4 linked regions of the Diceros bicornis minor genome follow. The protein of the gene in region 4 purifies or fractionates together with the protein of the main gene of each other region. This does not show direct contact. Links are inferred from orthologs where the notes say so. Each region holds a gene or a part of one and is shown on either strand. Other genes may lie near its edges. The genes, in order: ARFGEF2, ARFGEF1, SPAG5 and MYCBP.

Evidence for each region.
Region 1: the proteins of MYCBP (region 4) and ARFGEF2 purify together in Homo sapiens (co-immunoprecipitation; 4 studies listed by BioGRID and IntAct, with this or other methods). This does not show direct contact. The link is inferred for Diceros bicornis minor from reciprocal best matches to the Homo sapiens genes MYCBP and ARFGEF2.
Region 2: the proteins of MYCBP (region 4) and ARFGEF1 purify together in Homo sapiens (co-immunoprecipitation; 4 studies listed by BioGRID and IntAct, with this or other methods). This does not show direct contact. The link is inferred for Diceros bicornis minor from reciprocal best matches to the Homo sapiens genes MYCBP and ARFGEF1.
Region 3: the proteins of MYCBP (region 4) and SPAG5 purify together in Homo sapiens (co-immunoprecipitation; 3 studies listed by BioGRID and IntAct, with this or other methods). This does not show direct contact. The link is inferred for Diceros bicornis minor from reciprocal best matches to the Homo sapiens genes MYCBP and SPAG5.

The regions. Positions count from the first base shown.
Region 1 is NC_080758.1:12,954,792-12,962,732, reverse strand, and holds the start of ARFGEF2 (brefeldin A-inhibited guanine nucleotide-exchange protein 2), read left to right. Parts: upstream 1-4,924; 5' UTR 4,925-5,011; coding exon 5,012-5,132; intron 5,133-7,941. UniProt on the Homo sapiens protein: Promotes guanine-nucleotide exchange on ARF1 and ARF3 and to a lower extent on ARF5 and ARF6. Promotes the activation of ARF1/ARF5/ARF6 through replacement of GDP with GTP. Involved in the regulation of Golgi vesicular transport.
Region 2 is NC_080772.1:19,746,454-19,754,063, forward strand, and holds the start of ARFGEF1 (brefeldin A-inhibited guanine nucleotide-exchange protein 1), read right to left. Parts: upstream 3,014-7,610; 5' UTR 2,167-3,013; coding exon 2,043-2,166; intron 1-2,042. UniProt on the Homo sapiens protein: Promotes guanine-nucleotide exchange on ARF1 and ARF3. Promotes the activation of ARF1/ARF3 through replacement of GDP with GTP. Involved in vesicular trafficking.
Region 3 is NC_080757.1:18,899,025-18,906,413, reverse strand, and holds the start of SPAG5 (sperm-associated antigen 5), read right to left. Parts: upstream 3,018-7,389; 5' UTR 2,956-3,017; coding exon 2,905-2,955; intron 2,655-2,904; coding exon 2,529-2,654; intron 1-2,528. UniProt on the Homo sapiens protein: Essential component of the mitotic spindle required for normal chromosome segregation and progression into anaphase. Required for chromosome alignment, normal timing of sister chromatid segregation, and maintenance of spindle pole architecture.
Region 4 is NC_080752.1:52,679,803-52,687,334, reverse strand, and holds the start of MYCBP (C-Myc-binding protein), read left to right. Parts: upstream 1-4,521; coding exon 4,522-4,605; intron 4,606-4,800; coding exon 4,801-4,873; intron 4,874-7,532. Other genes in the region: GJA9 (gap junction alpha-9 protein), read left to right, coding at 1,828-3,375. UniProt on the Homo sapiens protein: May control the transcriptional activity of MYC. Stimulates the activation of E box-dependent transcription by MYC.

The sequences.
Region 1 (7,941 bases), on a different chromosome or scaffold from region 4:
AGAGGGTGCATTGGAGTTTTGCCTTAAAGTAAACACAGCAAATAAGTAAATTCCAAAGGGAGCAATGACACACAGAGGCGCTGTGGGAGCAGGGGCAGGTCCTCTGGTGTGGCTAGCGTATCAAGAGTCTGTGTATCGTGGGAAGAACCAGGCTGGCAGCTGGAAGGGCCGACTACAGGAACAGCCACAGGACATTAAGTGACTGACGCGTGTTACCAAGTTGAGACATTACTCAGAGGAAAACAGGAGTCAGAGCAGACACTGTTGGTTGCTGGCTTTATTAGTTAGGAGTAGCTTCCACTGCAAGAGATGGGGAACCAAAAATAAACGGTGCTTATGTCTATCTCATGTAAAAGTCAACAGGCAAGCGCCCCAGGATTGGCATGACCCTCCAGAATGTCAGGGACCCAGGTGCCTTCCCTCTTGTTGCTCTGCTGAGAAAAACTGCTGTTTCTTTTATTTACTTATTTATTTATTTTTGTGTGTGTGAGGAAGATCAGCCCTGGGCTAACATCCATGCTAATCCTCCTCTTTTTGCTGAGGAAGACCGGCTCTGAGCTAACATCTATTGCCAATCCTCCTCCTTTTTTTCCCCCAAAGCCCCAGTAGATAGTTGTATGTCACAGTTGCACATCCCTCTAGTTGCTGTATGTGGGACGTGGCCTCAGCATGGCTGGAGAAGCGGTGCGTCAGTGCGGGCCCGGGATCCGAACCCGGGCCGCCAGTAGCGGAGGCTGCACGCTTAACCGCTAGGCCACAGGGCCAGCCCAAAACTGCTGTTTCAAAACTGCCTCATGGGTCCACCACTGCTGCTGGGCAAAAGGAGACTGCGAGTGGATTGCTAGATAAAATACAACATATCCAGTTAAATTTAAATTTCAGGTAAATAGTGAATATTTTAAAAAATATAATTACATCCCAATTATTGCCTGGGATATACTCATACTAAAAAAAGTATTCATTATTTATCTGTAATTCAAATTTAACTGCTGTAACAAATTACCGCAAATTTAGTGGCTTAAAGCAACACAAATTTATTCCTTTCCAGTTTTGGAGGTCAGAAGTGTAAACGAGATGAGCAGGGCGGTGTTCCTCGTGGAGCCAGTAAGGGAGAATCCGTTTCTCTGGCTTTTCCAGCTTCTAGAGGCTGTCGGTGTTCCTCGGCTTGTGGCCCCACAATCACTGCTTCCATCATCACACCTCCTCCTGACTCTGACCCTCCTGTGTCCCTCTGTGAGGACCCTTGTGAGTACATCGAGTCTACCAGATAATCCAGGATAATTTCCCCATCTCAAAACCCTTAACTTAATCACATCTGCAAAGTCCCTTCTGCCCCCTAAGGTTCTGGGGATTAAGATGTGGGTATCTTTGAGGACCATAATTGTGCCTACCATAGAAACACAGAAGTTGCTTCCCAAATAACTTAATGATTAAATGATTAAATCTGGTGGACTCCAATCCAGCCACCTCCATTCATTCATTCATTCCCTAGATGGTTATTGAGCACCTTCCGCGTGCTCTGGGCACAGAGCTGTGAACAAGACAACGTCTCTGCCTTCATGCATGCACATTCTACCCGGGCAAGACAAGACGGCAAGTGAACAAAGTCACGTGAAAACAGACCTTTCCTTTAAAAGGTGGATCCTAATTCTTCTCCCCTGGAGTGTGGGCTGGACTTCGTCACTCACTTCTAAAGCAACTATGTGTAAATCAAGGGAAAACTATATTTTGTCTGGACTTTATCAAATGTCATTCACCATTTCAAAACCACATTACCAACATTCACGCCAATCATGGTTGAGTCCCCAAAACAGCACCCTTGATCAGTCTGCATGGTGAGCCACTCTGGAGACTAGGTCAAAAAAATCACTGCAGCTTCCTAAGAGCTCTCTCTCTTTTTTCTTGGATCACTCACTCTGGGGAAAGCAAGGTGTCACATCATGGGCACTCAAGCAGCTTTGTGGAGAGGCGAAGAACTGAGGCCTCCAGCCAACAGCCAGGTGGGGGAGCCACCTTGGAAGCAGCTCCTCCAGCTCCAGTCAAGCCTTCAGATGAGACTGCAATCTCATGACAGACCCTGAGCCAGAACCACCCAAGCTGTTCCCAAATTCCTGACCCATAGAAACCATGAGATAATAAATGTTTGACTTTAAGCCCCTAAGTGTTCATGTAATTTGTTATGTAGCAATAGACAACTGATACACAGATAAATAAACACCACCATTTCACTTACATTTCAGAAACTTAATTTGGTTTAGTGCAATAAAGAAAATAAATCAAGACGATGTGGACACAAGGGGTGGGGGTAGCAGTGATAAGACTGGGAGGTTGATGAAAGCTTCCCTTGCTGAGCTGATGTTGAGCTGAGAACACAATGATGGGACGTGGCTAGCAGTCTGAGCAGGGCTTTCTAGCCCCAAGAGACACCACACACCCCTTTTATAACTACGAGGTCTCCCTCGACTATTCTGAAATAAAATTTATAGATAATGAAATCTTCCTACACACATAATTTTTTAAAAAGATAATGACCTAACGAACAAGGATGAAACAAAAGGAAAGCAATGTATAATTTGCAAATTTTATTTCCATATATAAATGCTCAGGCACAATTACACTAAGAGATATAATAAAGCAGTCAGATACTGGCACCTAAAAGCAGAAACTGGGATGACGACAGCTACAAATGCAGGCTGATCAGGTGTGCTGTCATGGCGACTTAAATACCAGGGCCTGCATAAATGGTGGTGATGTGGTTTTGAACTGGTGAACAACATTTGTTCAAGTTCCACACAAAATGCAGTTTTCCCTTGAATTACAATAATAGTTGCATTCCTGAAAAATTCGATACATATTAAAACTGTGTGAAAAATGCTTTGTGTTTCTATGTAAAGTAGATGTGCGTTCTAGGTTTAGATCATTATTAATAAGTTTTTCACCTCCAGGTCTCACCAGGGTTACACAAGCTGTTGTATTCAGCTGGTGGGTCGGCTGGGGGCTGGGCTCAGCACGGAAAGCTGGGATGACTGGGCTTCTCTCTTCATGGGCTCTTTCTTCCAGATGCTCCTGAGCATCCAAGGTCTCTTGGTGCCTAGGCTCTGGAACGCAGGCAGCCTCACTTCCTCCACTTTCTATTGGTCAAGACAAGTGACAAGCCTAGACCAAGGGGGTGGAGAAACAGAGTCCACTTCTTGACAGGAGGCACTGCAAAGTTGCATTACAGCCATGGAATTCATGTCCATGAAACATTCTACCCGGCTCTAGACCAGGCCCTGAGGATACAGCCTGCCCCTCTGTGGCCTACAGCCTAGTCAGACAACAAAGTCAACAAGTAAAAATTGTGAGATAGTGCTATGAAACACATCAAATGGGGGAGGGGGGCTACTTCAGACAGAGTGGTCGGGGAGGGCCTCCCGGAGATGCTTGAGCTGAGACCTAAGTGTTTGAGCATGCCTGCATGGGAAGTTTCTGAGGTTTCCAAGAAACACATGGTCCTTGCGTGAACCCAACAGCACCACAGCTTCCCTTGGGGGAGGCGGGCAGTGTGAGAGGAGAGGCTCGAGGACATCGCCAGGGGTGGTGTGATATCAGGGGCAGTGGGATGGAGTGGAAAGTGCCCTGGGGCCAGAATATCTGTCTTCTTACACACATTTGCGGCTGTGTGACACTGGCCATCTCTGTTTCTTTCCCTGTCAGTCGCCCCCAAATACCCCCTGCCCTGTTCAGCACTGTGAGGAACTACAGGTTTACAAAAACAGACGGATACACTCCGGGGAGAAGTACACGTGGGGTGGTTCTCACGGGCAGCACCGTGCACAGATGTGGCACTGGATACACAGAAGGGCACCAAACCAGAGGCCAGGAGTTGGCTCAACTGCGGTGACAGGAGGTTGTGTGGAAGGTGTGTGTGTCCTGCTGACTCTCCCGTGTTGGAGAGTGTGCATGAACACACCTCCTGTCCCTCCCTCTCTTCCTTTCACCTCTCCTCTCCATCCAGCCCTCAAGCCCTACCTTCCATTTCTCTCTCCATCACACCAGGTTTTCTTGCCAATCTTTCTCACCTCCTCCCCTTCACCTCCCTGTCACACCATTTCTTTCTCCATTTCATCCCTCTTCCCTTCTCCTAACTTCCCCCCTCTTCCCTTTATCCCTCTCTTCATCTCCTCTTCTTTTCCTCTCTTCTCTGCTCCTCTCTCCAACTCTCCTTCCTACCTCCTCTCCCCTCGCCCCTGTACTTCCTCTCACCCCATCTCCACCTCTCTCTCCCCTCACTGCTTCTCTTACCTCCACGCCTCCCCTCCTCTCTAGCCACCTCACCTCCTCTTCTAATCCCCTTCCTCTTTCCTCCTCACCTCCTCTCACTCCATCACCTCTCTCTCACTCAATCTCCTCTTCTCCCCCTCACCTCCTCTTTCATCCTCACCACCTCCTCTTGCCCCTTTATCACCTCTCAGCAGTTCTCTTGTCTCCAATCTTCTCTTTCCCCTCCTTCCTTCCTCTCCTCCCATCTCCCCTCCTTCCTCGTCTCTTCTCTTACACCATCGTCTCCACTCCCACGCTCCTCACTGCCTGTCTCTTCACCTCCTCTCTGACCCCATCACCGCCTCTCCGCCCTTTCACCCCCTTTCCTCTGTCCTCACGTCGCCTCCTGCCTTCACTCACTTCCATCCCCTCCCCTCCTCCTTTTCCCTTCCCTCCCCCGCCCCTCCCCTTCTCGCCCCTCCCCTTCTCGCCCACCTGGCCCCGCCCCACCCCGCCCCCAGCCGTAGGCCCCGCCCCGGCGGGGTCACGGGGTCGAGGGACGCGCGGCGGCCGTAGCGGCCCCGCCAGTCACGTGGTCACGTGACGCGCTCCAACATGGCGGCGCCGTGGGGCCGCGGCATCGCTTCCTGACGGGGCGGCGCCGACGGACGCGGCCGGTGCTGGCCGGGACGCCGGACCCGCAGCCTCGCTCGCCCGCTCGCTCGCGCCGCCCGTCCGCGGGGCCGCCAGCCCCCGCCGGGCCAGGGCCATGCAGGAGAGCCAGACCAAGAGCATGTTCGTGTCCCGGGCCCTGGAGAAGATCCTAGCCGACAAGGAGGTGAAGCGGCCCCAGCACTCCCAGCTGCGCAGGGCCTGCCAGGTGGCGCTCGGTGGGTGAGCTGCCCCGGCCCGGCCCCGCGCCGGCCGTTACCCCGCCCGGCCTCCTGGGCTCCACCTCCCCCCGACCCGAATCCCACCTCCCCGCCTCCTCATGAGCCCCCTGGGAAACTGATGCGGCTCGAGACTGGCCCAAGGTCACCTGGCAAGTTGGTGACAGCCAGGGCTGGCTCTCCAGCCTCCCAGCCCAGGGCTCTGCCCGCCACTCTCTGCCGTCCTGTTTCCTGGTTCCTTCCGTCGCCACCCTCCGAGGCGGTAGCCCGTGTCCGAAGTTTTTTCTTCACCTGCGCTCTGCTGGTTGGGGTTCCCCTGTGTGAGCAGAGCAGGTGCGAAGAGCTGCCCAAGTGGTTTAGGGAAACCCCTGAGGCTTGCTTTGCAAGTGACGGATTGGAGAAGGTTTTCCTTTCATTTGGGGATCTTCCATAACTCCTTCAACGAAGGAATGTAGAGGGTTATTTTGCATCTCCCAAGTATTGCAGTGTGCAAGAAATCTGCTTATTTCGGGCGGTCCATTAAAATAGAGGGTCTGTGAGGGCAAGGCTACTTGTCTGTTTTGTTTATCGCTGGACCCTCTGCACGCGCAACAGTACCGGGCACGTAGTAGATGCTGATCGAATGGACCCACAGATTACGGAGACAGAGAGAGAACTCTAGCTCCTTAAAACCTTACTAGTTGATTCCAACATCAACATCCTTTCAGTTTCGATCATTCACCACGTATTTACCGCACGCCCACTGTGTGCCAGGCCCTGTGGTAGGCGCTGTCGTGGGCAACAAGGCAGACAAGGTGTTTGCCCTTATGGAGTTATACTGTGATAGGGGAGACAGAATAAGTATATAAGAAAATTAATGAGACATTTTTGAATACTAATAAGTATTTTTGTGAAAATAAAAGAGCGAGATGGGGGAAAGAGGGGCTGAGGACTGTTTTTGATATGGTGGTCAAGAAAGTAATCGTTTCTGAGGAGGCGATCTTTCAGCTGAGTACTGAAAGGCAAGAAGTATCCGCCATGTGGAGTTTCAGGAGAAGAGAGTTCTGGGCGGTGAGGATCAAAACATTTGACCAGAGCTGGCTTCAGGTTAATTCGCCACCCCAATGCCTTTGGTTTGGAATCAGTAAAAAGACTTGTTTTTCCTAACAAATTGCCCGAGAAAGTTTGATTTTCTATCACAGAATGTGAGGTTGCCGTCACCTTTCTCCCTTCATTTGGTGCAAGGCACAGCGCTGGAATTCTCTTGGGGCCTAGGAATGTGCTTGTGAACTTTGCACTTCTCTGGGAAGAGTGTCTGTGGGTTTCATCAGGTTTTTTAAAGGGTCTGAAACTTCCCTCAAGGGTCCAGAACTATTGATATAGAGATTGTTGTTGCTTAGATAATCTGGAAACAGATGCTAGTTCTGTGAAATTCAGGACTAATGGGAGGAATTTACTGAGATTTAGATTTTTAAAGCTTTTCAGTTCAGAAAACCTAAGGCTAACTGTTGGATATTGTTTTATCAGGAATGCAGGATAAGTACTACAAAGCAGTTTGTTAGTTAGGCAAAAGCTTGATACTTATAACTCCACTTTGAAATCTGGAAATGTGGAAAACTTTAACTGAATTGTTCTAATAATACTCTTTTCGTATATACATGTATGATAAAAGATGCAGTATCTTATTTAATAATTTAAAATCTTCTACCCTCTCAACATTGCCTTAAGAGTATTGTTGCAGAAGTTTCAAAATAGTTATTTGGCAGAAAAGTTTTCATTCCCCCTACAGAAAACTTAACAAAATTTTCACAAAATCGTGTATCACATTGTTGGAACCTACTTATAGAATTGTCTTAAGGGCCATAGCATTGAGAGCTTATGAGCTATTTTTGGATCTTATCTTTGTTCAGAAGTTCAGATTTTTCCGAGCTAAGTTGTGGAATGCACGTTCAGTGTTTCAGTAGTGAATTGCGAGAAGTAGCCTATATAGGAAGAAATTTGACTGCGGGTTAAATGAATAGCAAAATGACGTGGTGGCTCATCATTATCAAATTGGGTAATAGCAACTATTATAAGGGAACCTCTGCATGGTGTTGAGCTAAACTGGACACCTTTTTTAAGAGAGTAACTGTGTGTCATTGCTGTTAAATGGAAATGACTGCTTTTACTTATACACAATAGAAAACATAGAGCAAAGTACCTGGTGGTATTTCACTCTGCATCTCAAGGCACCATCTTGTGTCCAGTAAAAGTGGCTGAAACCAGTCTGTATAAGAAGTGTTGCAATGTGGCTGGTATTTTAGAGATTACCATGTGTAGATTATTGTTAATTTTGATAAGAGGAACTGTAAATAACCGCTTAAAGTTGAAATGCTTGGATAATAGAGAGCACTTACAGGAAACAGCTTCTGTGGTACGATTCCACCGGTTGTAGTGTATTGGGGTAGGGAGTCAGGGCTGCAGGGCTGGATAGTATAGAGATTAGGAGCGTGTTCTCTGGACTTAAGACTGCCTGGGTTCAGAGCCCTTGCCTTCCACTTGCTTTCTGTGATCTTGGACAGATCTTATACCTTCCTCACAGGGTTATTATAAAAATGAGGTTAGTTGACAAGTCCCGAGAACTCGGTGTGTCGTAGGTGCTCGGTAAAGGCTTGCTGCTATTATTTATGTTTATTACTATTTTAAGCTGTGACAAACCACAGAAACTATAAGCGCGCTAGCTTGATATTCGTAACCTCCATTGGTTCCTTGTTCAGGAATGACTTATTGCTCTGTTCGGTCTGTAGAGGCAATAAATAAGAATGTAATTACACAACTAAAAGGCTGTGTT
Region 2 (7,610 bases), on a different chromosome or scaffold from region 4:
AAAGCACTCCAGTGCCCAGCCCCTGCCTGGGTAGTCACATTCCTCATACTAAGCTTCTGCTAACAATATGGAAGAAGCAAAAAAGTAAAAACTGGCAAAATCTGGAATAGAGAATCCTGGTAAGCCAGCACACACACTACCAAGTAGTTCTTATGTCTGAAAATGCCAAGAACCAAGCTATAGGCCCTCTAAAAGGGCCAATCAAGAGGGCAGGAATACTCAATGCACAAGTTAACAGAACAGTGTATTCATATTCATGGCACATTACAATCATTAAGTTCAATATCCTAATTTTACAGAGAAGGAAACTAAGGCCCAGGGACTTGACTATATTGTAAAGTAACAGAACTGGGATTTAAACCTAAGATCCCAGACTCTCCTTCCAGTGAGCTTTCCATTAAAACAAACTTACTTATATTAGGATTTTGGAGAGGAAAAATATACAGACACAACACACTCCATTTCTTCAGTCTAATACTTATAATTTAGTATATTAAAAATATACTCTAACATGGAAAATCTGGCCTCAATCTCTTAAATTCTTTAATTTCTTTAATCTGCAAGTTATTCATAAATTCTTTAATCTGCAAGTTATTCATAAACCTATACATAACAATTCTTTAAAAAAGTCTAAAATAAAATCACTCCCTCTCTCATCGTGCCGCAATTTAATAATTATTCCTGTCAGGAACCAGATATAAATCAATTTTTACCATTGTTAAATGTCTTCTCACACACCTGGAGGTCTTTTGTTAGCTACAAGAACAACAAATGGTAAACTTCTGATCCACAAGGGGCCAAAAAACTAAACTTTACTACAGATTCAAAATTTTTAAATGAAATTTTTTCAATGTTTTTCATATCACCACATTTAAGGATTCAAAAAATAAGGGAAAAAACAGCATAGCTTATTACAGCAAGTTAAAAAGGAGCCTATTTATTTTAATAATTAAAAGGCAAAGTTACTTTTAAGCTGTCTTGATCCTCTACTTTAGCACACATTTAAGTTATTCTGGATTTTTTCACCCTCAAGAACGCTTTTTTCCTCAAAGCCCATTTAACAAGGTTCATTTTCTCATCAATTTGATCAAGTCTATTTCCAGAGCTATAAAATAAAACGTAAGCATTAGGAATTCATCTTCGTGTTAAATGTCCTAGTCTCGCCTTAAACGATTTCATCTTTGATGGATGCAATAGATCTGTCAGCGTTCCCCCCTGAACAATTCCTCCGCTGCCCGTCCTCGCTGTAGGTATTGTTTAGACTGACCCTGCTCCGGGCTTCATTACACCAGATCTCTTCCGTCTGAACTATAAATCACAATTCAAGCTTGAGAGCAGCTGCCCCTGTCCAGACATGTGGCTGGTGGGTGTCACTGTCTTTTTCATTTTCCCCATTTAAACCCTCCTTTCCTTGTCACTAAAACCAGCTTATCTAAAGGTCCCTTCCTTCCCCGCTTTTATATCGCAACCCCCACCCCTTAACCTCTGGTCTTGTTCTTCCAGGTCAGCCCAGTCAGATAAAACATTACTCTATGTTTTTCCTGTGGCGGAGGCGGAGAGATGTCAGAACCGGCTACACCTCTCGCAAAGCCCTTCTCAAGACTGTCAACAACGGAACAACTTCAGCCTGTCTTCCCAAAGTGCCACGCCAAACAATAAAGTTATTGAAATTACGACTCGGAACCCTTCCCACGCCCAGTCGCGACAAATCAGCTCCACCTCAATTTCCAAGCTAATAAACAACAGCTCATCTTCTGCTTCATCACAAAGGCTGGTATCCCGCCCGCACCGCACGGTCCACCGACAAAATAACCTCCCACTCTCCAGTCGAGTCCAAGCCCAGCTCACTGCCCTTGCTCCTCCGCCCCACATCCAGCCGAGTTGCTGTCAACTCCAGCCGGGCAGCAGGGAGCTCGGCGAGGGCTCCCTGAGGTCAGCGGCGCCGGCCTAGGGCGCACCCCCAGGCGACCCCACCTCGCGCGGGGCCGCCGCGCCGGCCGCCACCCCCGCCCCCGCCCCCGCCCGGCCTCTTCCCCGCTCACCTAACGCCACCTCACACGCTTTGCGCAGCTGGGAGTGATGCGCCTTCTTCACTTCCTTGTCGGCCAGAATCTTCTCCAGGGCCCGGGTCAGGAACATGTTCTTCGTCTTCTTGCCCTCATACATGGACGCAGAGGAGGAGGCAGCGGCCCGTCCGACCCGCGGCTCCCAGCGGCTGGAGGGGGGGCGGAGGGGGAGGAAGAGCGGAGAGAAAGGAGAGGGGGTGGAGGTGGGGGAGAGGAGGCGTGGAGGGCAGCGGCAGGATCAGGAAGGGGCGGGGGAGCGGGACCAGCCACGGTGCAGGCGAGGGGCGCCGGGGTCTTCACCGTCCCCCGAGAGGCCGCCCCTGGAGGGCCGCGCCCGTCGGACCTCCGCTTCTCCCGGCCCGGGAGTCGCTGCCCGGCCACCCCCCTCACTCGCCCCTCCGGCCCGGGGGCGGCGAGGGAGCCCAGCCTTGGCGGCCGTGTGCCGGGGGCCGAGGGCCGAGGCGGCTCAGAGGCCCGGCGAGAGCAGGGCTGCCCTGGCTACTGTGGGGATTAGCACCCGCCGCGGCAGTGGACTGGCCTCCATCACCGCCGACCTGCCCCGGCCGCCATGTTGGGAGGAAACGACGCGTCACGCAGCGGCCGAACGGCTGCAGAGGAGGAAGCGGCGGCGACGGCGCTGCCTGCCCAGAGCTGCCGCGGCGCCGGGAGGCAGGGGGCGGAGGGCGGCGCGGGAGGAGCGGCCCGAGCCGCAGCGCTACGGCGGCCCGGCGGGGCCTCGCCGCCTCCCGCGTTCGCCTGCAGGGCGGCGTGGGGCGTGGCGGGCGTCCTGCGGCGCCGCGCCGGGCACCTCGGTCTACTTGCGGCGGGTTGGCTTCGGTACCCAGGACCCCTTGGTATCCTTGCTCGAGCTGGGTGAACAAGATTCCAGGCTGTGCTGCATCCGCTTCTCCAACTTCCTGGAAATCCGGGTGGTGGGAGTGCAGTCCCTTCCGCTCCAGGGGTCGCGGAAACACGCGTGTCGCCCATGCTCAGCCGTACTGTGTTCCCACCCGCCGCGCTCGACTCTAAATTTCCTTCCCAGATGCAAGAAACTGCTCTCCAGGACTATGCCCACCGACTACCTCAGGGGAAGATTCTCCCTTGGGAAGAGTAAACTAAAACCAGTTTAACAAGGATTCCGGAATGTTTCACTTTTTCATCTCTGTAGGATACATCGGTAAACTAGATTTCGGATCCTTTCTGAATTGAGTTAAGCGAACAGGTGAATGCTTCTGATTGACGAGGTCCTTGAAAGCTCTGTTTGTGTGCCTTTAATACTAAGATGCGGTCCAGGACGTGAAAACCAGTTTCAGAATGGAAAAGCTTTAAGTACAAACCGATTACCCCACACGCACACGTGACCATATGTCTGCTTTGGCACGAAAGAATTCAAATCCAAAGTGTTTCCTTCAGAGCAGAAAATTATAAAGAATACCCTAAAAACGTATGCGAAGAACTTATTTACATGGTGATCTAGGGGCATGTCTCCAAGCTCAAAGCTACTGTGTGCCCCGATCAACACAGGGTCCCAGATTGTCAGAATGTGTTTCTCACTGTTCTGATCCATTCGATTGCCTTGACTACCGACTTGTCCTAATGCAGCTATCCAAACCCAAGAATGGAGAGGCTGTGAAGTGACAAGATTTGGGACAGGCGAAAAAACATGAGAAATAAAAATGAAAACCTTAAAGCTGACCCCGAATTAAAGTGGACAAATAGATTAATTTCTAAAACTTTCTGGTCCTGAGAAACATCCATAAATTCATTAATTTCATTTTCAAGACTATCTCTAACTTCTTGGAAATTAGAGATTGAATATACTTCTAGATCAGATGTAATATTGATTTCCATGTACACTCTGATAGGTTATAAACTTTTTGAGAACAAGCTTCATTTCTAATTTATCTTAGTTTCTTCATGATGCTGTTGTTGTGCCAGGTACTGTTGAAGGTGCTAGCTGATCACCAAATCCATTTACTCTTCTCAGTACAGAGGTACCTTATGTTCCTCCCTTGCAGTTACGTGTAGTCATCCAGGCTTAGCTCATTTAAAAAAAAAAAAAAAAGTCTTCCACAAACAATCTTCCATGCTCTTTCCTCTTCAGCATGGCTACGTGCTGAAGATGGCAGAGCCACAAGTTAGAAGGATCCACCCATCGGGAATATTTGTTTTGGACTTACTTAACATGAGCAAAGTAAACTCAGCTATGTTTAGCAGCTAGCTTTATCCTAAACAATACACTTGGCATTCATTAATGAGTAATACAGACAGAGATCTTGGCTCATGAAGAGCTCAGATTCTACTGCATAGCACATATCACAATCCGTAATTATCTTGTCTGCTTACTTGTTTATTGATTGGTGATCTGTTTCCCTCATAAGAGCAAGGACCTCATCTGTCTATTCACTTCTATATGCCTAGCATCTAGTATAGTCACTGGCACAGAGAAGGCCTTTTGTAGAAACTTGAATAGAAACTTGAATGAATGAAAGACACTGGCCTAAGTCAGGCATGATCCTTGCCCTTGTGGAGTTTACAGTATATAGTAGCAAAAAGGATATTAAACAAGTAAATCACTAATAAATATATAATTACAAATGTGTTAAGTATGATTAAAGAGAAGAACAAAATGTTATGAGGAGATCTTTAGATTTTGGATTCAGGGATGGCTTCCTGAAGAAGTAACATTTAAACTGAGACCTGAAGGAAATCAGCCAAACTAAGTCAGGCAAGAACTTCCTAAGCAGTCTTGGGGTACAGGGGAAGCTTGGCAAATTTCAGCAACCAAAACAAGGCAGTGGCTGAAAGTTATCAAGGGGGAAATGGTGCCAGTAAGGATAAAGAGGGAACTAGGAATCAGATCCTACGTAACCTTGCAGGCCATGTTAAGGGTTTGGGATTTCATCCCAGTAGCAATAGAATTCTATAGAAGGGTTAAGTAGGGAATGAAGTGATCAAATTGATGACTTAAAAGTAATCCCTCTGTTGTGTGGAGAAGAGATTGGAAGGGGACAAGACTGGATGTGGGCAGAACAGTGAGGAGGTGATTACGACAGTGCAACATGGCTTAGGCTGGACCAGGATCAGCATGCAATGTTTGGGAGATCATGCCCTCCACAAAGATGGCAAATGGGCTGAAGTCCAGCTCCAGCATCTGCCAGGGATAAGGGGCTCTTTTTTCTAATTTGCATAAAGATTAGATGGACCAGTGGTGTCAGAGTGATGGCAGTGGAGATGGAGCGAAGCAGACAGATTTGAGATATTCTTTGGTGGCAGAATGAACAGGACTTAATAATGAATTGGAATGAAGGTGAGAGAAAGGAAGAGGTCACAAATGAATGCCATGTTTCTGACCAGAGCCAGTGAATGAATAGAAATGACCTCTCTCCTCCTTTCTCCTCTTTTGCTGAGTCTAGAACTTCACCCAGAAGATGGTGGTAATGAGGGGCAGGGGTGGAGGGGCAGGCGGGAGACGCAGCCTTGGGAGGTCAGTCACTCTCACCCAGCTTGAAACTCAAGATGTTAACTCTGACCTTCCTGGAGCAAAAAATAAGATAAGACTCTAAAATAAAGCTGATGTCCTTGAAAGATAAAAGGAAAGACAGTGTTTGAGGGTGCCAGACTCAGGCAATTTTTACACAAAATTATGAATATATTTCCCTGTATGTATGTTTCCTTTTATTTTTTACTATTGTCGTTGCTTGGTGGTTATTCAACCTATTTAAATAAGAAATCCAATCTCAGTATTTATTTGCGTTTGACTCCTTGCTGTTTTCAAAACATTCAAATTCAAATTCTGTATTTATGAAATGCCTATCATCCTCTATTTTTGCCTCTCAGTCTGCAATCTCACCTTTTTATCACCTAATTACCCCATATCATTTTCCCTTTCGTCTATCACTTTGCTATATATTAGCTATCTTAACTTTTCTCTTTAGGTAATATTCCCACTTTAGTTCCCAAAGAAGTCAAATAATACCAAACAACAAAAGATTTGATCTGGGTTTTAGCATCTGGTTGGTGTGCTTTATCATCATCCTTTTAAATATAGATATAAGTTTGGTGTAACATAAAAATTAAATAAAATGTGCATAGATTTTTAATTAATGCTGAGTATATCTGATTGATGTTAAAAACCAATATTAGTTAACATCAAAAATAGCATCATGTTCACTTGACTAAAATAAACTATGACGCCTTGAGTAGTCTTTCACATGATCTCTAAATTCTGTTAGCTTTCAAAACATTCCAAATGATAATAATAATAAAGATTTATATAGAGCTTATTATGAACCAGATACAACAACTCAAATGAAGAAGTTTCCATTATTATCTCTGATTTATAAGTGAAGAAACTGAGACACAGAGAATTTAGATAACTTGCCTAGAGTATACAATTAATAAGTGGTGGAGCCAAGATTACAATTTGGAAAGTCTGGCTCCAGGGCCCATACTCTAAACAACTAACTATACTGTGTCTCTAAACAGTCATTTCTTGTAGCCTCCTTTTCTGCCGACTCCCTCTTCCCCTGCACCACTCAAGTTCCAGCACATTCCTCCTCCAACTGCCCCCCTTCCCTTGCTTCACCCCCACACCAGGTGTCCATACAAACACCAAGCTTATCTGCACCTGGATGCCTTTGTTTATGTTTCAGCAATCCAGAGCGCCCACCACCACCTTTGTTTTGTTTGCTCTCCCCAAAGTCTTCCCAACCTTCAAAGCCTCTTTGAAATTCATCCCCTTCTAAGTTTTCTCCTTCTGCCTCCAATAGCACCAATCCCACCCTTCTCTGTCCTTTGCAGCATCATCTATCTCACACTTTACCCCTAATTATATATCCACGGTAGTGTTTAATCAGACTGCAAATTTTTGAAGACCAAGGATACAAGATAAAGCAGGCAACTTAGTAAAAGATGGGAAAACATTGATTAAACAGAGAAATATATCACTTTTGCTGAGACCACAATAGTGACATGACTAATGTAAGAAAAGCCATCTCCAAAGTAAGTCATCTGCTTTCTTGCTTTTCATATGAAGAAGCTTGTAAGCTAATTTGATATTCCTCTTTTATCAGTCTGCTACTTTTCCTCTTGTTTATTAAGGAAATAAATGAATAAAGTGTGTCTTCAGACTCAGAGGTTCTGCTTACTGTTCTGCAGGAAAAGTATCAATACACTGGACAGGGTAAACAGGGAAACATGATAGATTGAAGAATTTGATTTGGAAAGAAAAGATAAAAAAAGCAAGCAAATATTTATTGAATGAGAGACTATAATGTGGTATTTAATAGGCCCCTGTTTTGTTAGATTTATAACCAAGCATTTCACTTTTTGGCTCTATTGTAAATAGGATTTAAAAATTTTTGAGGGGCCAGCCCAGTGGCACAGCGGTTAAGTACACGCGCTCCACTGCGGTGGCCCGGGGTTCGCCTGTTCGGATCCCCGGCGTGCACCGACACACCACTTGTCAAGCCATGCTGTGGCGGCATCCCATATAAAGTAGAGGAAGATGGGCACTGATGTTAGCCCAGGGCCAATCTTCCT
Region 3 (7,389 bases), on a different chromosome or scaffold from region 4:
ACACATTAGGATGTTAAAATGGATTGGTTTCTTGGGAAGAGCAGGGCACGTGTGGGAGGGATTAATTCCAGAGGAGGGGCAAAAGAGAGAGGAAAAGTGGAGCTAAGCCAAAAAAAAAGGGAAAGAGAGGAGAGAGAAAAGGGAAAAAAAATTGACCTGATAAAAAAGTAATATGATAATCTATGGATATGTGTGTATATAAACATATACACACAGATAGATACACATAAAGAGATGCAAGAAAGGATTTTCAAATATGATAGTTATCTAAAATGGCAGAAACATTTTCATCCTTATATTTACACATCGTTCAAATATTTCAAACAATGAACATCTAAGATAAAAATAATCACGTTTTAAAAAGTAAAAAAAAAAGTTATTTTTTGGGGGGAAAAAACTTCGTCTATATTGCCGACTATATCAGGAGGTAACAAGCCCTCCAGTTAAGAGTAGGGAGACCTAAATTGAAGTCTATTTTGCTACTGTGATTAAATGGCTGTGGTTAAATTCTATAGGCTCTATGAAGATCAGTTCCCACTTAGTACTTACTTCTTTTCTACCTAAGCTGTACTAATATAGTTGCCACTAGCCACTTTTGGCTATCTAAATTAAAATTAAATAAAACTTAAAATTTAGTACCTCAGTCACATTAGCCACCTTTCAAGTGCTGAGTAGCCATGTTAACTAATAGCTACCATATTGGACAGCACAGATTATCAAACATTTCCATCATCCCAGAAAGTTCTATTGGACAGTTGGTGTTAGAGCTCTTTCAAGAAAGACTGCTCCAGGGCTGGCCCTGTGGCATAGCGGTTAAGTGCACGCGCTCTGCTGCTGGCGGCCCGGGTTCAGATCCCAGGGGTGCACCAATGCACTACTTGTCAGGCCATGCTGTGGCGGCCTCCCATATAAAGTGGAGGAAGATGGGCACAGATGTTAGCCCAGGGCCAGTCTTCCTCAGCAAAAAGAGGAGGATTGGCATGGATGTTAGCTCAGGGCTGATCTTCCTCACAGTAAAAAAAACAGAAAGACTGCTACTCTCATACATCTGTTACTCAGGCTGCCATGTGCTTTTATTCTTTCTTCCTCTAACCTATTTTATTTATGTCCCCTCTCCTTCCAAAAATAATTCAGACTGCATGAAAAAGAACAGATAGATGGATACATCAGGTTAAAGAAATACAAAAAGAAAAAGAAAAAGGAAGAAAATCTTCCTATTTCAGGGAGTAGCAGTAGTTATACCTGATGATCAAATTTGACCCTGAGCTTTCTAGAAGCCAGTTCAAGAGGGAAAATGTAAAATGTAGTAAACTACATAGTTGTCACTATCAGAAAGAGAAAAACAAAGCAATTTCTTCAGAATTTTCCCAGGCAGTAAGTTCTAAAGGAAATTTCTTTTTTAAATTTTTTTTTTTGGGGGGGTAAGGAAGATTGGCCCTGAGCTAACATCTGTAGCTAATCTTCTTCTTTTTGCTTGTGGCAGATTGTCGCTGAGCTAATATCTGTGCCAATCTTCCTCTATTTTGTATATGGGACGCCGCCATAGCATGGCTTGATGTGTGGTGTGTAGGTCCTCACCAGGGATCCGGGCAGCGAACCCTGGGCCACAGAAGTGGAGTGTGCAAACTTAACCACTACGCCACTGGCCCGCCCCTAAAGGAAATTTCTTCGAGGAACCTTATAGAGGGGTCACTCGCCTTCCTTGACAAGTTTTACAGCAAGTGAAAAGCAGTTTCTACATGGCAACTTCTCTCAAGACCTTTGACAAAAGTACAATTCAGTGAGGGCAATTCTACAAGGGGCTAGTTTAAACAAAGATGGTCCGGGCCGGCCAGGTGGCGCAAGCGGTTAAGTGCGCATGCTCTGCTGCAGCGGCCCAGGGTTCGCCGGTTCCGATCCTGGGCACACACCAACGCACCACTTGTCAGGCCATGCTGTGGCGGCATCCCATATAAAGTGGAGGAAGATGGGCACGGATGTTAGCCCAGGGCCACTCTTCCTCAGCAAAAAGAGGAGGATTGGCAGATGTTAGCTCAGGGCCGATCTTCCTCACACAAAAAAATAATAAATAAAAATAAACTTAAAAAATAAATAAATAAAAATAAACAAAGATGGTCCAAGTGCTCTGCCTTCCAGTGGTGTAACTTGATCCCAGGAGAGTTTTGACTCTCTCTTGGAATGGATGGACATTGCCTCACTCTTGCAGCTGACTGACCTCTCCATAAGTGAGCCCATATTAGAGGGAGACCCCTAATCAAAGTGATAGTATTTCTCAGTAGTTCAGTAAAGACTGAATGGGGGAGGAGGTGATAAAAACTAACATCTAAATAGAGGTCTGGGTTCTCAGCGGATTTCCTTTAACCACCCTAGGGCACCTCTCTGTTGGCCTGAATAGCTGTAAATGGATGTCACTGAGGTAGAAGACTTCATTATTGTTATTAATTACGTTCCAGCCCGGGTCCTCTATTCCTCTGAGCTCTTGGCCTCGGCAAAGAGCCCAGTCGAGAAGCTGGGCAGTCGAATCTCACCTGCAGCCCCAGTTTGCACAGTGATGGAGTCAGCGAGCAGCATATCGGGGCCCCTTTTCCAGAGTTGGTGAGGGCATCGGGCTGCAGGGTAAGTTCTCGGAGGGGAGTTCTCACAGCTGGTTTTCCCTGAGAAAGAAAGAGAGTGTAAGAAAGCCTGGCTCTGCCAGCCCGCCCTTCCTCCCTCCCTAAGAAGCCCATAGGGCACTAAGAAGAGTAGGCTTCGACGCCAGTCGCGCTGAAGCGTCTGGACCAACAAAAGACTCCACACGCCCCCGCCCCCAGGCTCGACCCAGCTTTCCAGCACACTCGGCACTGCCAGCGCCCCCGCCCCGGAAGCCTCGGCCCAGCTCTCTCTCCATGAGGCTCTCCCACTCACCGGCTGAGGCGAAGGCGACAGGCTAACGTTCAGTGTTTTCACCCGCCTCATCTTCAACACAAAACGCAGCCCGATCTCCTCCCAGACCCAAGGGGTGACGCCATGTTCACCCGCCGTCTGAATTTGAACCTGCTCCGCGCTTCCCGATTGGCTGCGGAGCCTCAGTGCGTCGGCCTAGCGTGTTTGCTCCGGGCTCGAACACGGCGGGTGAGGGGGCGGGGCCTGCATTGGCCACGCCCCCGCCCCGGACCGCGGTTCGCGCGCGGTCTCTGCGGATCCCGTACCAAAGACACGGGCAGGAGGGGCGACGTGCCGCAAGCCCGAGGCCAGTCTTATGGCCTCACTTCGGGGACGGTACCCAAGCAGCAGGAGAGTCATGGAATCCATCCCTCCTGCTTCCAGGAGACCACCCTCACGCCCTGACAGAAAAGTGGTCTTCGTGGCCTGGCCTCAGGAAGTCTCTTCTCCGGTGTCTCTTAGTTACCTCGCGCCGCAGCCTTGACCAGAAAGAGCGGGCCGGGTAGTCCGGAAAGGAAAGGTGAGTGTAGCCTTTTTTCCTTAGGCTTGGTCGGTTCGCGCACAGGTCCTGCGTTGGTGAGGGCCTGAGACGTAGTTCTCAACCTGCGCTGTAATTTAGCCTCTTCAGAATTTTTAGCGTGTTCTTGGGACTTACCTTGGGGCCTGCAACAAGTTTACTGGAACAATAGCTAACGGGTATCGCACATTTATTAGGTACCTGGCACTGTTCCAAATGCTTTATCGATATTAACTCCTTTAATCCTCGTAAGGACCTACGAAGTAGGTACTATAAATATCCCCATTTTACAGACGAAGGAACTGAACCATAGATAATGTAATTTGCCCAATGCCCCGCAGGGAGTAAATGGCAGAGGCAAGATGCCAACCCACACTACGAACTACTGCATTCTACTGTCGCTTCAGTCCCCTCTGTATGGGAAATCTAGCTATTTAAGAGGAAACTGATTGATTTTTGGAAACAGCCTAAAGGTAAGTATTCACAGTTATAGTTTATGATGAAATGTGTTCCTTTGAACATTCAGCATCTTATTTACACTCTGAAGTCTTAATGAGTTTGGAAAAGGCAATAATCCCAAGAGGAGGAACTGTAATCTGTTATGAACTGTAGGGCCCTCAGGGGATGGGCTCCTCTAGAAACTGTGTTGTCCAATACCTCAGCCACTGGCCACATGTGGCTAGTCCCAATTGAGATGAATTATAGGTGTAAAACGTAAACTAGATTTCAAAGTCTTTGTATGGAAAAAGTAAAATATCTTATTTTTTAATATTGATTAGGGCCAGCCCCCTGGCGTAGTGGTTGTTTGGCATGCTTTGCTTCAACCGCCAGGGATTCCTGGTTCCGATCAGGGGTGCGGACCTACATCACTCATCAGCCATGCTGTGACAGTCACCCACATACAACACAGAGGAAGAGGGGCCGGCCTGGTGGAGTAGTGGTTAAGTTCACACACTCCACCTTGGTGGCCCTGAGTTCACGGTTCAAATCCCAGGCATGGAGGGATGCACTGCCCATCAAGCCATGCTGTGGCAGTGTCCCACATAAAAATGGAGGACGATGGGTAGGGATGTTAGCTCAGGGCCAATCTTCCTCAGCAAAAAGAGGAAGATGGGCAACAGATGTTAGTGCAGGGTGAATCTTCCTCAGCAAAAAAAAAAATTAATATCGATTACATGTTGAAAGATATTTTAGATATACTGGATTAAATAAAATACATTAAAATTAATTTAACCCATTTCTTTTTACCTTTTTAATGTGGCTACTAGCAAATTTAAAATTACTTATGAGGTTTACATTATATTTCTATTGTACAGCACAGCTCTAAAAACAATGGTCCAGGCCGGCCCGGTGGCACAAGTGGTTAAGTGCGTGCACTCCGCTGCGGCAGCCTGGGGTTCCCAGGTTTGGATCCCAGGCACGCACCGATGCACCGCTTGTCAAGCCATGCTGTGGCGGTGTCCCATATAAAGTGGAGGAAGATGGGCACGGATGTTAGCCCAGGGCCAGTCTTCCTCACAAAAAAAAAAAAAAAAAGGTCCCAGCCTCAGGGCACTAGAGAGAACAGTTGCCTGAATGGAAAACTGGGAGAAAGACAACATAAGAGCACAAACTTGAGTCTGGGATTGCCCAGGACTCAGCAGAGGGAATCCCAAGGTATGTATACTTCTGGCCAATCGAAAAGATCCAGCAAAGAAAACAAGGGTAGGGCCGGCTCCGTGGCTTAGCGGTTAAGTGCGCGCGCTCTGATGCTGGCGGCCCGGGTTCAGATCCCGGGCACGCCCCAAGGCACCACTTCTCCGACCAACCCGAGGCCGAGTCCCATGTACAGCAACTAGAAGTATGTGAACCTATGACATACAACTATCTACTGGGGCTTTGGGGGGAAAAAAATGAATAAATAAAATCTTAAAAAAAAAAAAAAAGAAAACAAGGGTAGCAAGTGGCACAAAAACCAAGACAGAAAACTCTTAAGTGCCAGTAGTATTGTATTAGCTTGTATTATAGAAATGTGTAAATTGGACTGCTTAGTCCTTGTTGCAGTTGGTATGTCAGATGCCAGCAAATTAGGAGAGAGATGGAGGGGTAGATAAGAGGGAAAATACCATTGTAAATAGGTAACATAAACAGAATTGGTTTGTTGGTGTTGTTTGGATAATAATTTTTTTAATTTGGTGTTTTTCAAATTGTAAAAATAATAGATGCTTGTTATAGCAAGAGAAACAATTCAATGCAAAGATGTATTAAAGGCACAGCCTCCCCCATTCATTCTACCTGCCTGAGGTAACCAATAGTGTGTATACCTTTATAAAAACATATATGCATTCACACAGGTTTTGTCTTCATTTACACACACATATTTGTTTTTCCCAAAAATTAACTGATGTGCAGCCTGGGGTCTCTGGGATTGAGGGCTCATGCCTTTCTTTTTTTCTCTTCTCTTTCCACTTGCATTACTCCTCTCTCCCTTCCAGGTTCCCTTTTTCACATTCTTGCGCATTCTCTCCCTCCCTCCCTCTTTCCCTCCCTCCCTCTCTCTCTCATACACACACAAGGGAGGGGAAGAAGGTATTGAGTCCTTTACAAAAATGGCATTATTTCTTACACTTCTGCATTTTTTTCCTCACTGTCTAGTATAGAGTCTTCTAAGTCAACTGATATAGATCTAATTAATTGATTGGTCATTTCTTATTCCTTGCCCTTTTTAAAAAAATGTTACTTCTCTTTTCTAATTTGTAAGAGTTCTGTGTTATAGACATTAACTGTCATCACACTGCAGAATTTTTTAGATCTATTTTTTGTCTGTTGACTTTATTAATGATATCTTTGGCCATACAAAGATAAAACTTTTATGTAGTCAAGATGTTTATCTTTCGTTTTAGAGCATTTGGATCTTATCTGATTGAGTTATTCATTCATCAAATTTTTATGTAAATGTTTTTCTTTTTCTTTTATAGTGCTTTCATTTTCTGTCTTAGTTTAGGTATCTCCTCCATCCCTTGATTGTAGGTCTAGTCTCCCAAATGTTCTTCTAAGGTATTTAATGTTTTGATGATCACATTTAAATCCTTAATGTATCTGGAATTAAGTTTTGTATATGATATGAAGTAGGGGTCCAACTACTTAAAAGCAATTGTAGTTTTTAAATTTTCTGATTAGAGATTACTTATTTTATGAAAATCAAATTACATAACCCAAATCAGCAACTCTGAGAAGTATCCACCAGGCAGCTGAGTGAACTCAAGGATGAAACTGGAATTACTAGACCTGCTACTGTGTATGATGAAGTACTGAACAAAGGAGGCAGTGTGACAGCAGCTAATCAGTGGAGCTCTGTAAACCAGCAAAACTCATAGAGAGGCCAATGAAATCTAAAATAATTACATGTTCTCAGAATATAAGCAAAACCAACCTATAGGGAAGAAGATAGCATGCATTTTTGTAAATAAATAATCATTCCTGATTAATCTATTAGAACTCTTCATAGGGGTTGTATTAGTTTGCGAGGGCTGCCATAACAAAGTACCATAGACTGGGTGGCTTAAATAACAGAAATTTATTTTCTCACAACTCACAAAAGGCTAGAAGTCCGAGATCAACATGTCAGCAGGGTTGGTTACTTCTGAGGCCTCTCTCCTTGGCTTGTAGAGACTGTCTTCTCCCTGTAGCTTCACATGGTCTTCCCTCTGTGGGTGTCTTTATAAGGGTGCCTTTATAAGGACACCAATCATACTGGATTAGGGCCCACCCATATGACCTCATTTTAACTTATATCTTTTTTGTGTGTGTGTGTGAGGAAGATCAGCCCTGAGCTAACATCCATGCTAATCCTCCTCTTTTTGCTGAGGAAGACCGGCTCTAAGCTAACATCTATTGCCAATCTTCCTCCCGTTTTTTTTTTTTTTTTCTCCAAAGCCCCAGTAGATAGTGGTATGTCATAGTTGCACATC
Region 4 (7,532 bases):
TACAATAATGGGGCCATACTATTCTATTTTAGAACCTGAATGTCACTGAAATAATACATCAAATATCTTTTTATATTAGTATATCAAGTCTACTGGTTGCATAGTACCACACTGTGGTTGTACTGTAATTTATTATGTACAATACAGCCTTTCTTGTATTGATAATTATTTTGGATGTTTTCAAATTATTATTATTATAAACAACATGAATAATATCTTTGTTTACACTTTAAAGTCCTTTGAATTGTTGAGTCAACGAGTATACTATTATTAACATAATGAAGTCAAATAGAAATTTTCTCTATCTCAGGAATACAACTAAATTTTAGAAGGCTGATGCTTTTGCAAGTTTTTTTTTTAACTATATAAAGCTTTAAAAAGGGAACTTAAGACTCCAGAACCAGTTATTTAAAAAGTCAAAATTATCACTATTTTACATGCCTAGTTTAAATAATTAAACTTTTAAGAGAAAGCAGATGATTTTTTAATGTTTTTTCATGCAAATTTCAAGTATGCTTAAAGAGGAAAAATAACAATCTAGTAAAACAATTAAGAGCTGACCTTAGAGCCACGTTGACTGAGGTTGAATGCCAGTTCTAGGTGTGTGACTTTGGGTAATTTAAGGTGTGTCTCAGTTTCTTTATCTGTAAAAACAGGGAAACAACATACCTACCTCATAGGATCTTTATGATGAACATATCTTGTAGCTATAGTATCCTAGTATGTTTGATAGTGTAACATTTCCCTTTCTATAAAGGGTATAGGACATACATTTATATTTTATTCACATGAAAGTAGATAAAAACATTCACTCTTTTTTTCTTTCCTTTGGGATATATTTACTCTTAGGTATCCTAGGATATCTTAATATGGAACCTACTGGTTGATAATCCAAGCATCTAAATTATAACTTGCCCCAGTGCTCCCTCCACAAAAGCAAGCTACATGTCTTAAATAGGTCAAATACTGTTACAATGAAAATTTCTATGATATCACCACCACCACAATGATCCATTTATTTCAAGTAATATCTAATAACAATCGGGTAGTACAAAATAGTTGAGAATTTTTGGAGTTCATTTTAAGATGATAAAGATTTACAAAATTTTTCATAGCAAAGTATAATAAGAATTTTATGTGGATATAAATTTATATTTATATCCACAAATATATTAATGAAATGGCTTCTAAAAATGCCCAAAAACTGCCAGAAAGAAACCGGAATTTAGACGTTTAAATGTGGATTAAAGAACTAATCTAAATTCCTATAGCAAGAGCCAGATCTGTTTCTTCTGGTTTCATTAAATGCTGTTATCTTACTGAATTATCAAATGAAACACATTCATTTTCCTTTGTGCATAAATGAGATTTTAAAATCATTGACTTTGGTTGTAACTTTTATATAATCTTAATAAATAGGTTTGTAAGATTAAGTCAGTAGTTTTAGGAACCTCTCCAAAAGTTCTCAGTTTGAAAAAATAAAACAACAACAGCTAAGTAAGAAAACTCCTTATAGGGAATCCTACAGTTCTATTCTTCACAGAGAATATATACACCCCACCCCAGGTTATCATTTTTTTTTTCATTGCATTATGAGGTCTAAACGTAAGTGCTTTTAAATTCCTGACATCTTAAATATATTCTTGGTAACAGATTATCACAGCTCTCCAGGGGAAAAGGAAAACAACCAACACACTGAAAGAGTGATGCTTTGTTCATATTTTGGCCATAGGCTTGCTTCAAGAAATAGCACGCCCTTCAGAATGGAAGAATTTACCTGCGTCCTATTTGATGGGGTTCAGACCTAAGATGGCTGACTAAACAAACATGGGGGACTGGAATTTCCTTGGAGGCATTCTGGAGGAAGTTCACATCCACTCTACCATGATTGGAAAGATCTGGCTCACCATCCTGTTCGTATTTCGAATGCTTGTTCTGGGTGTAGCAGCTGAAGATGTCTGGAATGATGAGCAATCTGGCTTCGTCTGTAATACAGAACAACCCGGCTGCAGAAATGTATGCTATGACCAGGCCTTTCCTATCTCCCTCATTAGATACTGGGTTTTGCAGGTGCTGTTTGTGTCTTCACCATCCTTGGTCTACGTGGGCCATGCTTTGTACCGACTGAGAGTTCTGGAGAAAGAGAGACAGAGGAAGAAAGCTCAATTGAGAGGAGAACTGGAGGGGATCGAGTGTGAAATGCCTGGGGACCGGAGGAGACTGGAGCAAGAACTTTGTCAGCTGGAGCAAAGGAAACTAAACAAAGCTCCGCTTAGAGGAACGTTGCTTTGCACTTATGTGATACACATTTTCACTCGCTCTGTGGTTGAAGTCGGATTCATGATTGGACAGTATCTTTTATATGGATTTCATTTAGATCCTCTGTTTAAATGCCATGGCCACCCATGTCCAAATATAATTGATTGTTTTGTCTCAAGACCCACAGAGAAGACAATATTCCTATTATTTATGCAATCCATAGCCACCGTTTCACTTTTCTTAAATGTTCTAGAAATTTTCCACCTAGGTTTTAAAAAGATTAAAAGAGGGCTTTTGGGACAATATAAATTGAACGATGAGCATAACAAATTCTATGTGAACAAGTCAAAACAAAATCTTGCCAAATATCAAAATACATCTGCAAATTCACTGAAGAAACTCTCTTCTGCAACTGATTGTAATCTGCTAGTGGAAAAGCAAATGCACATAGCAGTGCACCCTAGTTTAAATGCATCTGCATTTCAAGCGGATCCTGACAATCACAGTGGAAATGATGAGAAATGCATTTTGGATGAACAGGAAACTGTATTTTCTAAAGATATGTGCACATTTAGTACTACCTGTAGTCATCTTCAACACATCGGCTCAAGTAATAAAGAAGACACTCATAAAATATTTGGAAAAGAAGTTAATGGTAACCAGTTAAGGGAAAAAAAAGAAACTGACGGCAAAGACAGCAAAAGAAACCACTACTCTAAAGGTCACTGTTCTATTCCAGGTGTTGCTATAGATCTGGACAACCACGTGGGGCAGTCATCCCAAACAGCTTTCTCTCCGCCACCTAACTGCACCTGGAAACCCAGGTGGCTTCGTGCTACATGGGGTCCCTCTACAGAAGATGAAAAACAGATGTCACCTCCTAAAGGTAACCTCAGGGGCCAGTTCAGAGAGAGCACAATCAGAACCATTCCTCCTTCACAGGGTGACTTCCAACCACCTGACATTCCAGACACTCCTGATTCTTTGGGAGAGTTGTCCTTTGAATCCAAGTCGGTCAGAACCTGCAATAATCCTACTGCTTGTCCTCCAAATCATTTAGTGTTGCTGACAAACAACCTCAGTGGTAGGAGGGCTCCCACAGACCTTCAGATCTGAACAGCTGTTGGCTTTTAGTCTACATATTTATTACCATAGAAGTAGCCTAGTAGTGGTGGAGCATAGACAAAACAAATAATGGCAGCTCTAAAGACCAGCTGTTTACAGACAACTGCAAACTCATTTCAAAAACGGAAAACGGCTCTAACTCTGAATTGTGAAGGGGTAGTTTTAAATTAAAAGACATAGAGTTACCAAATCAGGATTACTTTTTCAGAAGCTCCCTTCAGAATTCCTGAAAACTGATTTTGGGAAAATCACATGTTCGGAATCGAGGCTAAATGGTTTGGAACTAGTTTTTTCCTTGAAGGGAGCACAGCATTAGGAAGATTGTTCTTGATCTATATATAATTCCCCCTTTTAGGTACTAATCTTTTATTTCTGGACACTGATTAAATTTTGTTTGCCCAGGGACTTAGTTTCCTTCTAGATTGCAACCTGATGTGTCTTGAATATAGTCATAATGTTGCTGTCTAGTAAATAAAATCTTAGATTGGTGGCTTTCTTTCACCTCTTTATAGCATCGTGATCCAGTACCCAGATAGGAGTCTTGGCTTTACTACTCACTAGTTACCTAACCTTGCCACTTTACTAACAGTACCTACCTTTCAGGGAGGGTCTGAGGATTAAAATAAGAAACATATGTGTTTAACACAGCGCCTGGCAAACAGTAAGCGCTCATAAGTGCTATTATTACATGGTGCCACTCACCCTCCCGAGCCCACATCGAGTCGGCCAAGTCGCCCTGCGTCAGTTGTGGGCACCTTTTCAGGGTGAGAGTCAAGAAGACCACGGCTTCCGAGGTTCCCATTGAGACGGGTCCGCCCACTACTACTGTCCGGAGATCCTCCCCGCCTGCAATAGTCCTCAGGCTCCTGGGCTCCATGCCCATCTTTGACCCCACCTGGACTCTTGTCCCGAGTTACCCAAACCTCGCCTCTCCCTAAGCAACCGAGTCGCTGCCGGGACCGGAAAAGGAAGGAGAGGTGCTGCTCCGGTAGCTAGAGGGGCGGGCGTACGCAGCCTCCCTCGGCTCAGCCCACCATGGGGCATTCAGAGCGTCCTCGTCGCCATGAAAACAGGCCACACCCCTGCCACCCCCCTCCCAAGGTTCCCAAGTGCGCAGGCGCGCGCGCCCTTCCGCGCATGAGCAGTGCTGCTCAGAGCCCGCCAGCCACGGTCCCGGGCGCCAGCTACGCCGCTGCCGCTGTCACTATGGCCCATTACAAAGTGAGGGGGGCGCGGCGTGGCTGGGGGCGTGCGGGCGGTAGCCAGCCGCTGTTCGGCTCTGGGTGGGCGTGGGGGCGCGCGCGCAGCTTTTGGGGGCCCGAGGTAGCGAGGCGGAGGCGGGGTTGCCGGACTCCCAGCGCCTTCTTCCTGCTCCGGCCCCCGAGCTTCGGCCGCTGACCCGCCGTGTCTCCTCAGGCCGCCGACTCGAAGCGCGAGCAGTTCCGGAGGTATTTGGAGAAGTCGGGGGTGCTGGACACGCTGACCAACGGTGAGCATGGGCTAGGAGAGGGCTCCTCTTGCCCTCGTCGTGCTCCTCGGCGCTGCGCCCTACACGGCGGTGGCGTGGGGAAGGAGGGGCAACAGGTAGGACCCGTCCGGGGTCCAGCAAGGTGGGCCTCGGGGTTCAGCGGGGCCGGACGCCGCCTGGGTGGGGTAGCCTCGCTCACGCTACCAATCTCCCGGCCAGGAGTGAAACTCTTGCAGCTGTTGCAAAGTCTCTAACTTCCGTTGCTTTGCCTCGAGCAGCCGCAGTGAACATGTTTGCTAAAGACCTGGAGATCCCAATTCCTTCCTCCTCACAATTTTCGAAGTCCTCAAAATCCTGTAAAGAAACAGTTTCTCTGGAACAAAGGGCAAGTGGGAAAATTACCAGATTCGAAAGTGGGCCATGAAGTAGCTAAGTAAGCCTAATCCCCAAAGTAGGCGATTCATAGTCAATTTGGCTGTGGCTTTTCAACTCCCGTTTCCTAGTGTGTATCAATTCCTGCTTTGTGCAGATTTCAAAATTAAAGTGGAATTACAGTTTAAAGAGTTTAAGGGCACATCAACATGGTTATATTGTTTTCACTTTTTAAAATGGAAGCTTACTGTTACACTGTATCTCTTCCTCCACGGTTCAAGATCTAAGTAGATGAGTAAGGTTCTTGAAACAGGAGGGTTCCAAGAGACGGTTGGGGTACTGCTTATTTCATTAGCTCAGCAGTAATTTGAATGCCTGCTATGTATCACTCATTGGCTGAGACTTTCAATGGTGCAGAACAGAAGAACTGGCAGGGATGATGATCTGGGACCATATGAGAATAGTAAGTGTCTGGGAAATAATTTGTTTAACTGCTCTTTCGCCAGAAGCAAAGGTTAGGAGAACATTCTGGGAGAGGAATAACTCTGAGTCTTGGCAGAAAGCAGGGCTTTCACTTCCTAAGCATCAGCTGGTAATTTTGAATTGCTACCTACCTTGGGTTCAGGTACTAGTTTCCCTATCTCTTTGCAAATTTTACCAAACACTAAGGGACTACTCTATGAAAGCCTCGTGCTCTGTTGTCTCTGGAAGTGTCACTGATGCTTGGAATTGCATCAATCCACTCCCTTCAAAAAACTTCACAAGTTCATTTATTTAGCCATTTTATTCAGGTCTCTGTTCTAGGCACTGGAGATACAGCAGTGGGAAAAAAAAGGCCAAGCTCTGAATGAATTTTTTTATATCCTAGTTGGAGAGACAAATAAATAAACTCATAGTGTCAGCTGGTGGTGTTATGAATAAAAGCATAGCAAAGTAAGGGGATAAAGAGAGATGGGGTGGGATGTGTGTCCCATTTTATATAGGGCAGTGGGGGAAGGCCTCTCTTAAGTAACATCTAAGCAGAGACCTGAATGAAATAGTATGTGATGTCAAGAGTTCCTGGATGTTTAAGGAGGCCAGAGTGGCTAGATGGAGTGAGTGAAAGATAGAAATGGTAAAGGGCAGAGAAGTGACCATTGTGGGAGGTAACTGAAGATGTACAGCCTTGTGGTCATACACGGATTTTTCTTTATGAGAGACTGGAAACCACGGGTGGCTTCTTTTACCTTGCTCACATCCACTGGTATGTAATCCCTGAATCTCCCTAGATTTCCAGTCTCCTAAATAACATCAGATAACATAGTGTCTATTGATAAAATTTAAAATTTGATTTTCAGCTTCAAACATAAGTACTTTACACAGATTTAATTTATAATTTTTATCCAGCTTATTTCCAAGAGGATTTGAAACTACTTCTAACATTGAAACAGTAAAAGACAGGATGGATAAAGATAAAGATAAGTCAGTGGAAGAAGAGGCATTTTAGTTATTTTGAGCACTATATTAACCTGTAAAAATTGTGGCTAGTAAGGCAAAAAGGGGAACACTGGGTATAGAGTTCTTATCTGATTAAAAGAAAGTATATTTTATCTATAGAAAAGCACAGGAAACTTGACATTTACATTATGTTCTGTAATTATCAACCTTGTAAGTACCACTGACAGAAATTTAGAAGCTGAAAGAAATGAGGTGGGGGAAGAAGAGGAAGAAAGGGTAAGAGTATTCATGTCTTATAAAATTAGTATTCAGTAGAGATCAGTAGAAATTAATCAAAGAAAAAACAGGTTTGAGTATATAATTTAAAGAAAAAAGTAGTAAGCAAAGGAATTAAAGAGTACTGTAACATATTAAAAGGAGAGAGGGGAGGAGAGGAGAGGGTAGTGGTGATGCAGATATACCAGTTTCTCAAAAAATAGTGCTGGCAGTGTATTTAGAGAGATGAAGAGTATCAGAACTCAATGTAAGATGTTAAAAGTACTTGCCCGTTTGAGTTTTTCATACTGTCTGTATTTTGATGACTTATTAAAATTCTAAAAAATAAAAGGGAAGCATGTAAGTTGGTTTACAACAAGAGTTCTTAACTTGGGGTCTAGACATGCACAATTTTTGGTGTGTAGTTAACATTTTTTGGCTTTTATCAGATTTTTTCAAAGGGTTCCATGTACAAAAAAATTAACCTCTGTTTTAGAGAGATTTTTATCTGAGTAGGAAATTCCAGGAGGATTTGTTCAGTAGAAGATGAGCAAGGTAGTGCTGACATGAGCTACTGGATATGAAGCTACTGAACATAAAGTATATATTTTAATGC